3 linked regions of the Xenopus tropicalis genome follow. The protein of the gene in region 1 interacts with the protein of each later gene in a biochemical or structural test. Links are inferred from orthologs where the notes say so. Each region holds a gene or a part of one and is shown on either strand. Other genes may lie near its edges.

Region 1 (3,500 bases):
TGCCTACAGGGACAGTTATTATAGTTCTACATGGAACAAACCAACTGTGAGGCTGAGGCGCCCCCTGCTGGGCAGAATACAAATCTACTGGTATCGCCTTGTATTTATACAGCATCTGATTGGCTAGACTCGGATTTATACAGTACCTGATTGGATAGCGTGTTCTGGGCACTTCAGCAGCTGCTGGGGCAGCAGGGCAAACGAACAGAGACTGGGGGCAGGTTTACTGCCAGGGCTGAGACACTGTACAAAGGGAATAAGCAGGGACTGGTGCCCGTCAGTAGCCAGAGGAAAGGGTGCCAGCCGGAGTAGGGGTGCCAGTGAGTCTGTGTGGGTGAAGCCCCCATTTATCTGCACCATTCCAAGCGTCAGTAGCAGCAGGGGGGGCAGTCTGACATGCGGGGGGGGGTAGTTGTGGCTACATATGCCCGTGCCATACACAGGCCGGACTTGCCACTGACAAACACAGGAGGCCGGAGGCATCTGCCATCCTAATGCCCTTGGGCGGCACAGGGTGAGGTAACTTGCTCCTGTTATAACAATGTATGGCTCATGTGTTAACTCCTCGGCGCCAGCGTACAGTGAAAGGGTTAATCCTTCTACGTCTCACAATCACACCCCCCCCCTGGATTTGGCAAAAACAGAAAAAAAAAAACTGACCAATTAACGACAGACTGGGAAAGCCAATGAAATGTATCTTTTGGCGACCCCCCCCGACAGCGAGGGGAAAGGAATGGGGGGGCTGCGCGTGCCTCTGAGCCGGGGGTTCAAGGGGGGGGGGGCGCACGGATGCAGGCTGTACAGGCTTCCAACCCGCGCACGTAACGCAATAAGGCACTCTGAGAATCAAACTGGTGTGGGGGGGCCCGTGGGGGGCTGCTGCAAACTGATGGAACCTCAAGAGCTTTCATTCTATGTATTCCGTACAGCCAACCCGTCCCTGACTACCACCAACCCCGGTGATTACAGCAGAATCCTTAGGGGGGGGAAAGCAGATGGGGGTGTGTGGGAGGAGCTTAGAGCGCGGCGGTGGCCTATACCAGCGCAGGAGAAGGTAACCAGTCCGAGGGAGAGAGGAGAGGCAAATAAAACAAAAAACAAACTTCACCTCTCGGCTCTCGCAAGGAAAACTCCATCGGAGTGAGATTTACAGAGAAAAAATTAAAAAAAAAAAAAAAAAATTAAAAAAAAAATCTGTATTTATAGATATTTTACAAGGTTAAATAACAATAATAAAAAAAAAACTGAACCACTAAAAATGAACAGAAGGTGGCGCTTCCTTTACAGTTTCAGCTTTATCCTTGGTGGGTGTGGCCAGTGTTTGCGAGTCCCAGGGACAGGGTGGGTGGCGCCCTCTCTCTGTTTCCCAACCCCCTTTGCTACTTTTTGCCCGTTTTTCCCGTGAGCGGCGCATGCGTGGGGGCTCAGGAGGAATTGGAGGCCGACGCGGAGGCTGCGTTGGTGCTCGTACAGCGCTCCCCGGTGCTCGTCTCTGCAAGGGAGAGAGATGGAGAGTCACTTTGGGCAGAAATACAGGGCAACAGGATCACTGGCAGGGAACTGCAGGCCGGCAATCCTTATATCTGCCTGACTGGGGCACAGTATCCGCCTGACTGGGGCACAGTATCCGCCTGACTGGGGCACAGTATCCGCCTGACTGGGGCACAGTATCCGCCTGACTGGGGCACAATATACAGAAGCCTTTGGGCTGTTTATAGGGAAACGGGATCACTAGCAGGGAACTGCAGGCCGGTAAGCCTTATATCTGTCTGACTGGGGTAAAACTGCCCAAGGGAAAGCTCTATAGTCACTTTATTGTCCCCTGAGCAGCAATAATACCGGCTGGGGGCAGCACAGGCAGGAAACTGATAACATGGGCAGTAAGCCTAGGGCTTGGGGCAATAAGCAACATAGTTTATATGTAGGGAAACCACTAGGACAATAAACTTGCTGTGGTGCCCGACACACTGCCTCCAAGCATCACAGTGTGAGTATAACCCCATTGGTCAGGGCCTGTGTAGTGTAAGGGGGTACAGAACCCCCCCCCGGAATCCTTGGCCCCCCCATACCAGCATAGGGACGTGGGAGTTGCCCCTCTCTGCTCACCTGATGCCGATGTCGAGTTTGACGGCGTGGGCACGGAGGCCTGGTTCCGAGCATGGGCAGGGATGAGAATAGAAGAGAGGGAAGGATTGCTTGACAGCTCTGTAGTAAAGAAGAAGAAGAAGAGAAGCTGCCTCAGTCTCGGCACTGGCCGGGGCACCCACAGACTGTGGGGCAGATTTATTATAAGGTGTAACATACATCCCCGGTGTTGCTGCCCATAGCAACCAATCAGCAATTACATTTGAACCTACGCGTTAGAAAATAAAAGCAAAGATCTGATTGGGCGCTATCGGGAACATCACCAGGGACGAGTCTATACATTAACCCCCGACTCCCAGCAGCCCTTTCCCTATTGGGCGGAAGGGAGACGCGTTACCTTGAGTGGTAAAGTTGAAGAGAGCAGGGAATTCGCGCCCGTTGGGCAGTTTCAGATTGGGGTCCCGCAGTTCGTCGAAGAAGGAGTGGGCGCAGGCATCCAATGGGGTGAGGCGGGCAGTGGGCGTGTACTCCAGCAGCCGACTGCACAGGGCGATGGCCTCGGGAGGGGTGCGCGCCCGGAACACCTGCAAAAAGACATAACCCTTTAAAGATAAAAAAAAAAAATACAGATCTGACTGAGTGCTGGGATCGTATCCCTGATCGGGGGTGGAGCAGATGGGATGGAGGCGGAGCCTTCTGCACCTACACTAACTGCCCCTGTAACAGTGCCCCCTGCTGGCCAACAATTTCCCCATCAATCCCCACTGACAGTTTGGTTTAGAGGGCCCCTCCCTCTGTCTGTCAATCATAAAGTGCTGGAGAAAACACAGCAGCCAATCCCAAGCAGTGGGAGGGGCCTACAGAGCATAATGGGGAGAGCCAACCCATCCCTTTAATGAAATCTATTCACAGTCCTACAATCTGCCCCAAAACGTGTCCCACCATCATAAAAAGTGCTCTTATCTGCCCCAGTCCTACCCCAACAGCCATACTATGATCTCTTCCCTATATCTGCCCCAGTCCTACCCCAACAGCCATACTGTGATCTCTTCCCTATATCTGCCCCAGTCCTACCCCAACAGCCATACTGTGATCTCTTCCCTATATCTGCCCCAGTCCTACCCCAACAGCCATACTGTGATCTCTTCCCTATATCTGCCCCAGTCCTACCCCAACAGCCATACTGTGATCTCTTCCCTATATCTGCCCCAGTCCTACCCCAACAGCCATACTGTGATCTCTTCCCTATATCTGCCCCAGTCCTACCCAACAGCCATACTGTGATCTCTTCCCTATATCTGCCCCAGTCCTACCCCAACAGCCATACTGTGATCTCTTCCCTATATCTGCCCCAGTCCTACCCCAACAGCCATACTATGATCTCTTCCCTATATCTGCCCCAGTCCTACCCCAAC
Region 2 (3,500 bases), on another chromosome or scaffold:
TTCAATACAATTAAGTAATGGCAGCTGTGGGAAATGCTACCATTTTTGCCAAAATATTGCAGATACGCTAGTTGGCTTCAATGGCAAATCAGACTCTCGCAAAAAGTACTGGGATCCAATCCAAAGCAATTCCTGGATTCAGCGCACCCCTAGTATGTGATAAACAGGCCCAGACTGGGGGTCAAAATAGCCCCTGGCATATCAAGTACACAGGGGCCCAACCAGCCCCCCACCAGCCCAATAAATAGTGACTATGGCACCTTACAGCAGCCCCTCTGGCATTTGCCAGACCCACAGATTGCCAGTCCAGGCCTGATACATGAATCTATTACACATTTAATAGAGTAGGAAAAAGGCTTACTGTGGAAAACATTAGCTACAATACAAGTTCCCCACTTATGGGAGTCAAAGATAAGTTTCTATAAATACAATAGCCAATTGCATTCAGGTTCCAGAAGGGAAGGAGAACATGACGAATAGTTTATATAGATTACTGATATAAAACACCATTAGGAAACCCTACTGCCAAAGTGCTTTAAATTCATTGTGCCTTGGCATTTACTCTTTTGTCTATACCCCACGGTAAGGACACTGTCCTTTATAAAAGTCCTAAGCGCAAGGCTCACTTGGCAACAGGACCAAGCTCCGCCCCATTTGCAGGTAATCGGTGCCCCTGTCTATTATGACTTCCAGTGAAGAAACTGGACAGCTGGGGATATGATTATATATATCATAAGAGAGATTAAGGGCATTCTGTAGTCCCTACAAGACTAAACCCCCTGCAGGTAAGTAGGACATATCTTGTGAGAGAGAGACTGACACCTTTCAGCTAAGAGCTCACTGAATATTTGCACAGGTTCCAACAGTCCAGCTGAATGATATATATACACATACACACACACATATATATGCTCAAGCTGGTCAACAGTTTAAAGGTTAATTACATACTCATGTAGTGAAGGTGATCATGCTGTATATATACATATTTGCATATCTGCGTCCTTTTGCTGCTAGAAAGCCCTCCATCGCCATCGCACCGCAACGCATTGAAGGCAGAGTTTCCGGCAGCAAACAAACATACAAAAAAAATCCCCCCCCCCCCCCCCCCCCCCCCTGAACATCTCCATCCGATTTTAGATAGATATGTTTTTAAAAAGCAAAAAAAAAGTGCCTGTGTTGAAGCCATCGTCCTCTCCTGTACATACAAACCAGTCTTGTGCAAATAATTAAAGAAAAATAAAAAGTACTTGCTTTAATAGGAAGAGGGAGGGAGGTTCGGGTAGCTCCGTATGTTCACAGCAATCCTAAATCATATTAATTTGTCTAATTAATAAATGTTGAGATTGTCTTTTATCATGGAATGTGCAAAATTACCTTCTAGCCTGATTGCCACGAGAGCCATGCCGTAGCACTGAAATGTATTATGGCTGCTGCAAGCTTCTAGACTGGCCACAAAATGGCACTGTGTCAGATATTGCCTAGTGATGAATAAGGAGAGCTACGTTAGTTTCCTTAACCAGAGAAGGATCAGTGTTGGTTCCAAAACAAGAGCACACAATGCATGACATGGCAATAAAATAGGTTTAGGGCGAGGAGTCCGAAAATGCAGTGGCAATGGAAAGGTTATAGGAAAGGGAGGAGGTGCCTTAGCCGGTGCTATAAAAACAAGAAGAAATACATTATTTCCAAGTAGTGTTTTGAAAATACATCACAGGGCCTTTGTCCCTGAGCTGCCTCTATACAACATGGCAAGTCTCCGCTGACTGGAAGGGACATGCAGGGAAGTACCCATCTGTCCGTAGAGAAGGCATTGCGTTGCTCGCCAAGAACAGCGCAGGAGTCGGCATTTCCTGTCCGAGAGATTTCCGCATGGTTATTTACAGGTGAGCGGTGCAGGCGTTTCAGTGCTTGGCTCTTGCATACATAGATACTGACTATTAGGGTCCCCCCAGAAATTGCCAGGGAGAAGCAGGGTGCGTCGGTGTTCGGGCTCTTCCTTCCCCTGGCAGGTACCAGTTTGCACCGGAGCAGGATAACAGGACGTGCTCCTCCGTCTGTCCGTCTGCTTAATCAGACAAAGTCATTTGCAGTCTTCCGAGACGACTGAAGGTCAGGATTCCGGTTCCGTACTTATTACCATGGGCTTTGGTGGCACCGCTAGGAGAGCCTCGGCCTCTTCATGCATCTGCATTAAACACACACCCAGTCAGTGCTCCCCCAGCATATTGTGGTGCCAGCACCAACTGCCATCACAGCACACAATCTGTCAACTTGGGTTTAAATTAACTTTTAGTATGATGTAGAGAGTGCTACTGAGACAATTTGCAGTTGGTCTTTTTTATGGTTTATGGTTGCAAGGGTCTGATTTACCCTAGAAACAAAGCAGTGATTGGAAGGAGAGATTGAAATATAAAAAGGCCAAGGCCTGAATAGAAAGAGAATTAATAAAAAGTAGCAATAAGATTGAAGCCCCACAGAGCAATAGTTTTTGGTTGCTGGGGTCAGTTACCCCCCTCTAAAGGCAGAAAAAGAAGACAAATAAACTATTAAAAAAAAAACAAAAAAACGAAGACCAACTGCAAAGTTGCTAGGAATAGGACATTCTATAACATACTAAAAGTTAACGTAAAGGTGGACCACCCTTTTAAATCTCAGATCTGTAGTAGTAACCCTAGGGTGCTGCTGTCGGAGCTTGTGGGAAATTGTGTGTCTGCAAGCAGAGAAGCTGCAGGCGTATGGGTGCAGGCACAGGGAGCGGATTTTGCTGCAGAAACCCATTATTGCACTGAAATCCACTCCGCGTGTCTGCACCCTGCCTGACGCAGTGCCTCTGACTGCAGGCACAAAAATGGGTGGAAGCCAGCCGATTGGCTGATTCCCTCTAATCACACTCCATTTTCACCCAACAGTGTAAAGCAACAGGGTTTATGGGTGCACAAAACTGATCCGCCTGACCCCCTGAATGCCTCACACAGAGCCCCTTACACATTGCACCCCAGCTACCTAAACAATTACTGCTCTACATGTTTTTCAACAATATGACTAATGTCATGTAAAGTGTGCTGCCAGGCACCGCATCAGCCTGTGTGTACTCACAGAGTGTTTCAGAGTGGAAATGTATACCTTTGCCTTTTGTGCGTATAGACTGATGCATTGCCTCTCAGTGCATTTAATACAGAGAGAGGTGGGTGGTTCCCATTGGCTAATGCTCCACCCGTGTTGTCACACAGTGTGACATTATACTAATTAGCCTCAGCTTCTGGCTGCCATGGTAATAAAGGGCAAAAGATCCCACTACAAGTCATCTGTACATACTCACAATCTGAAACTGAACATCTTGAAAGAGCTCCTGAATAAATCTCCGGGAAGGGAGTCGAAATGTGCAATGTGCTAATAAGTGGGAAACCTCAGAATAGAGGCAAATGTCATCAAATGCTTGAGGAAACTTCTCCTTAATCCTTAAAGACAAAAATAAAATACATATGAACACAACAAGGCGA
Region 3 (3,500 bases), about 130 Mb from region 1:
GACAAAATTAGCCATGAATGAGAGGTTTTAGATTGAAAAACATACCAACTTCAAAAAGAGGAGACTTCTATTGATAATATTTACACAGCCATTAAATTGAACAAAAAATGCACATACCAGTATGTGTTCTCAGGTGGGCTTTTAAATGGGATGACTTTGTATACACCTTTGTGCACCCTGCAATAGAAGAGTAAAAAAGCATGGTGGTTATCATTGTGAATGAACATTTCACGAAGCAACAGCCCAGAGAACATCGCTAACACTCTGTCTACCATTAAGGCATTTAATGTATTCTTTTGCAGGATACTCGCAGCTATGATGCCAAAAGCAGCCCCCGCATTTTTAAGGCAATGCCCCCCCCCCCCAATTCACTTCTATAACAATTGCCAGGTATAGTGCAATCACTTTCCAAACAAAAATAGCCTGACTGCGCAGTGCAATTTCCAAAGAAGTGTAGGGGCAATTTTTCAGTTTCTTGTCCCCATTTTGCTAGCTACTATATACCTCTGGGAACAAAATGATTAAAATCTCGCCATGTGCCATAGCCCTTAACAAGAGTAAAATACTACATATGAAGAATCTGAATTCCTTGTGGGTTTTCTGTGTAAAGAAAAAAAGAATTCCTCAAAGTTGCAACAGGTGTAGTTTTTCAAATGCCAGAGCAAGTATATTTATTCCTATTGAGCGGACTTATTTATCAAAGTTATTCAGAGCTTTAGATATCCATCTGCATTCTTGCATTCTAAAAATACCTAGGGAGATTCCAGAATTATAAGTACAGCGCAGTTTATTATTACTTTGGCATTTGCTGTTGCTAACATGAAAGTGACACATTTGCTTCTGTGCATTGCTTGGACTCTCTGCTACTTTTATCATTTTCTTTCTGTTCCTAATGATTAACTTTCACATTAAAAGGCTGTCCTAACTCATGCACAATTAGTGCTGGCATCCTCAAGTCTCACTGAAAACACCTTTCATTTCCTTTACATTTTTACATCCCTTATGTATAAGGGTTGGAATCTAAATCATGATGACTGCATAAGGGTGCAAATAAAGCACTACTGACCGAGTCAGTTCCTAATTTGCTTCACTATGCTAAATTCAGCACTATGCTGGTGACCCTCAATGGATAGGGAGCAGGGATGATCTGTGTTGTTTTCGACCTGTTCAACCTCAGACTGACCACTGACATAATGGCGAAGCATTTAAAATATGTAGAATTCACTAGAAAATGTGTATATATCTCAGGAAGTATGCACCAAAAGTCAGTGTGAGCCTACAGAAGGCCCAGAGATAACATTTATCCAAGTGTGCATAAACTTCATATAGAAAGTTCTCCACACAGAAAGGTCTCCTATGTTATACAATGCTTCAAAATATGAAACTCATTTGTTAAAATTATTTCTTAGTTAATATATAGTCATTTCTTTTCATATATGCTATATAACTTAATCCAGTTTGAAACATGTCGTACAAATAACCCCGGTTTATTTTTCATATACAGAACAACCATATTTGTCCTGGAACTATTACTTATTGAAGTAGTATCTCCTTTAATCTCTTTGCCCAGTGTTGCACTGTAAAGGACTGGGGTTTTAGATAAAGAATGCGAAAAGCAAAAGCACATTGTAGATTTAAAGACACAAGTTAAACATTAACGTTAAAATAGCAGGATGCTTATAAAAATCTTGTTATTCCTATTAAATCATCTAACTGCTCTAAATTCAACAAGGTTAGAGGTAACCTGACTTGGTGATGACGTTCTTTACACAAAATGGAGCCCTATAAACCTGACAGATTTTACTTTAAATAAGTGCTGTCAAAGTACAGTTTCGCCACAGTGACATATATAACCCAGATTCTTGCATGCGCATGTCCATATACAGGTGGAACATGCACAACTATACACACAGGTCAGATGGGTTTATTATTGTACAGGTTCCATCTCTGCAGTTTTTATGCAAAATTCTCACTATTCTCCATGTCGGACAAATCCATTTCATTATAATCACTAGGGGTACCAGTACTGTTAATGCTCAGTCTCTGCTAAAACATACAGTACTGCAGCACCTGCTCATATTTTTAAATACAAATATTCAGAGAAGGAATGTATTGTGTAAAGAATATATCATGGTCTCATTCATATCCAACTATCTAATGAACAAGAAATATGCACCCTATAAGTAAAGGAGAACTAAAACCTAGAAATGAATACTGCTAGACATGTTTATTTACCAAACTTGCTTTATTAGCCCAAAAGTTTAGCAGCTGTAGGACAGGTCTTAAAAAGTTGTCCATGGGAGCTCCCCATCTTAATCATTTGTGTATCTGTGGCACTGCATGTACTCAATGGGGCTGGTATTGGCAAGCTAAGCAAGTAAAAAACACTACCAGAAAGTTAAAGTTGTATATGTCAAAGTTGGTGATGCTACACAGCTGATTAAATTCAGAATACCTTGGTTTCTCTGCTGTTGAGTAATGTGAATTAATTACCAATAATCCTTGAATGGTGGATTTTATATTATTGTAGTGTATAGTGTATATATTATTTATTGTGCACATGTCCCTAAGCTGAGGTAGCTGAAAGTAGCCCAGAGCATGTGCGCATATTCAAAGGCACAGACCTTCATTGCTAAAGGGCTATGGCTAGTGGCCCTGGGCTAGTACAGAAGCCCAAAACATAAGGCATTGCATGTCTAGACACATTCTTTGTTAAGCTTTAGCTCTCCTTTAAGCTTTTGATTAAGTCAGTAGACCGTTACCTTGTATAAACCCCTGAACAATTACATGTAGGTTCTTACCAGGGTAGTCACAATAATGTATGCGCCTTTTCTCCAGATCTGGGTTGTTTCTACGGTTGTAGCGTACAGATTGTATAGCAGGGGCTGTTATTTGCACCTGTGCAGGTAAGGGTGGATTGTGAATGGCCATCTTGGATGCTATCGTGGCTGCATAAGATGGTGGAGGGTTTAAACTCTGGAGAAGCTCTGCTTGCCTATCTGGGCTGCCTGGTTCAGAGCTAGGAGGAGAAGGTGGAAAGTAGGTTCCTTCTTGCTGGTGCAGAAATTGGCTAGGCATGCCATATGAGCACTGAGGGATGCTCTGGAATTGTTTCATTGCAGTCTGTTGTACTGGAGAAGAAAGTGTATTAAAGGCAGACATGTCTGTGGCCATGGAAGCACTATTAATAGTGTCCATAACTGAGGGTTGGTTTGTGGAGTTAGACATATCAATGTCTGGCGAACTTAAAAGCTGGTATAACTGGCCCTGCTGAGGATTGACAGAGAGCGGAAGCTCTGGTGAAGGGAGCTCTTGTTTGATGTAGATGTTATTAACATCTGCGTTTTGGTGGGAACTGAAGATGCTGGTGAATTCAGGAAGACTCTGTGTGGGTTCAGCATCACTTGAGTGGCTAAATACTGAAGTGGGCTCTGTCTTGATATGGGTCACGGGTGGCCTCTGGCTCTTATACAGGCTTGTTCTTAAGTGAGTGATATCAG

The links. The genes of interacting proteins can lie anywhere in the genome.
Region 2: of the proteins of gsk3b (region 1) and rictor, one has a biochemical effect on the other in vitro, tested with the Homo sapiens proteins (2 studies listed by BioGRID). The link is inferred for Xenopus tropicalis from reciprocal best matches to the Homo sapiens genes GSK3B and RICTOR.
Region 3: of the proteins of gsk3b (region 1) and klf5, one has a biochemical effect on the other in vitro, tested with the Homo sapiens proteins (2 studies listed by BioGRID). The link is inferred for Xenopus tropicalis from reciprocal best matches to the Homo sapiens genes GSK3B and KLF5.

The regions. Positions count from the first base shown.
Region 1 is NC_030678.2:1,904,337-1,907,836, reverse strand, and holds part of gsk3b (glycogen synthase kinase-3 beta), read right to left. Parts: intron 2,688-3,500; coding exon 2,483-2,687; intron 2,206-2,482; coding exon 2,107-2,205; intron 1,493-2,106; coding exon 1,425-1,492; 3' UTR 1-1,424. UniProt on the Homo sapiens protein: Constitutively active protein kinase that acts as a negative regulator in the hormonal control of glucose homeostasis, Wnt signaling and regulation of transcription factors and microtubules, by phosphorylating and inactivating glycogen synthase (GYS1 or GYS2), EIF2B, CTNNB1/beta-catenin, APC, AXIN1, DPYSL2/CRMP2, JUN, NFATC1/NFATC, MAPT/TAU and MACF1.
Region 2 is NC_030677.2:197,070,334-197,073,833, reverse strand, and holds part of rictor (rapamycin-insensitive companion of mTOR), read right to left. Parts: intron 3,459-3,500; coding exon 3,320-3,458; intron 2,186-3,319; coding exon 2,111-2,185; 3' UTR 1-2,110. UniProt on the Homo sapiens protein: Component of the mechanistic target of rapamycin complex 2 (mTORC2), which transduces signals from growth factors to pathways involved in proliferation, cytoskeletal organization, lipogenesis and anabolic output.
Region 3 is NC_030678.2:127,155,012-127,158,511, forward strand, and holds part of klf5 (Krueppel-like factor 5), read right to left. Parts: coding exon 2,802-3,500; intron 178-2,801; coding exon 118-177; intron 1-117. UniProt on the Homo sapiens protein: Transcription factor that binds to GC box promoter elements. Activates the transcription of these genes.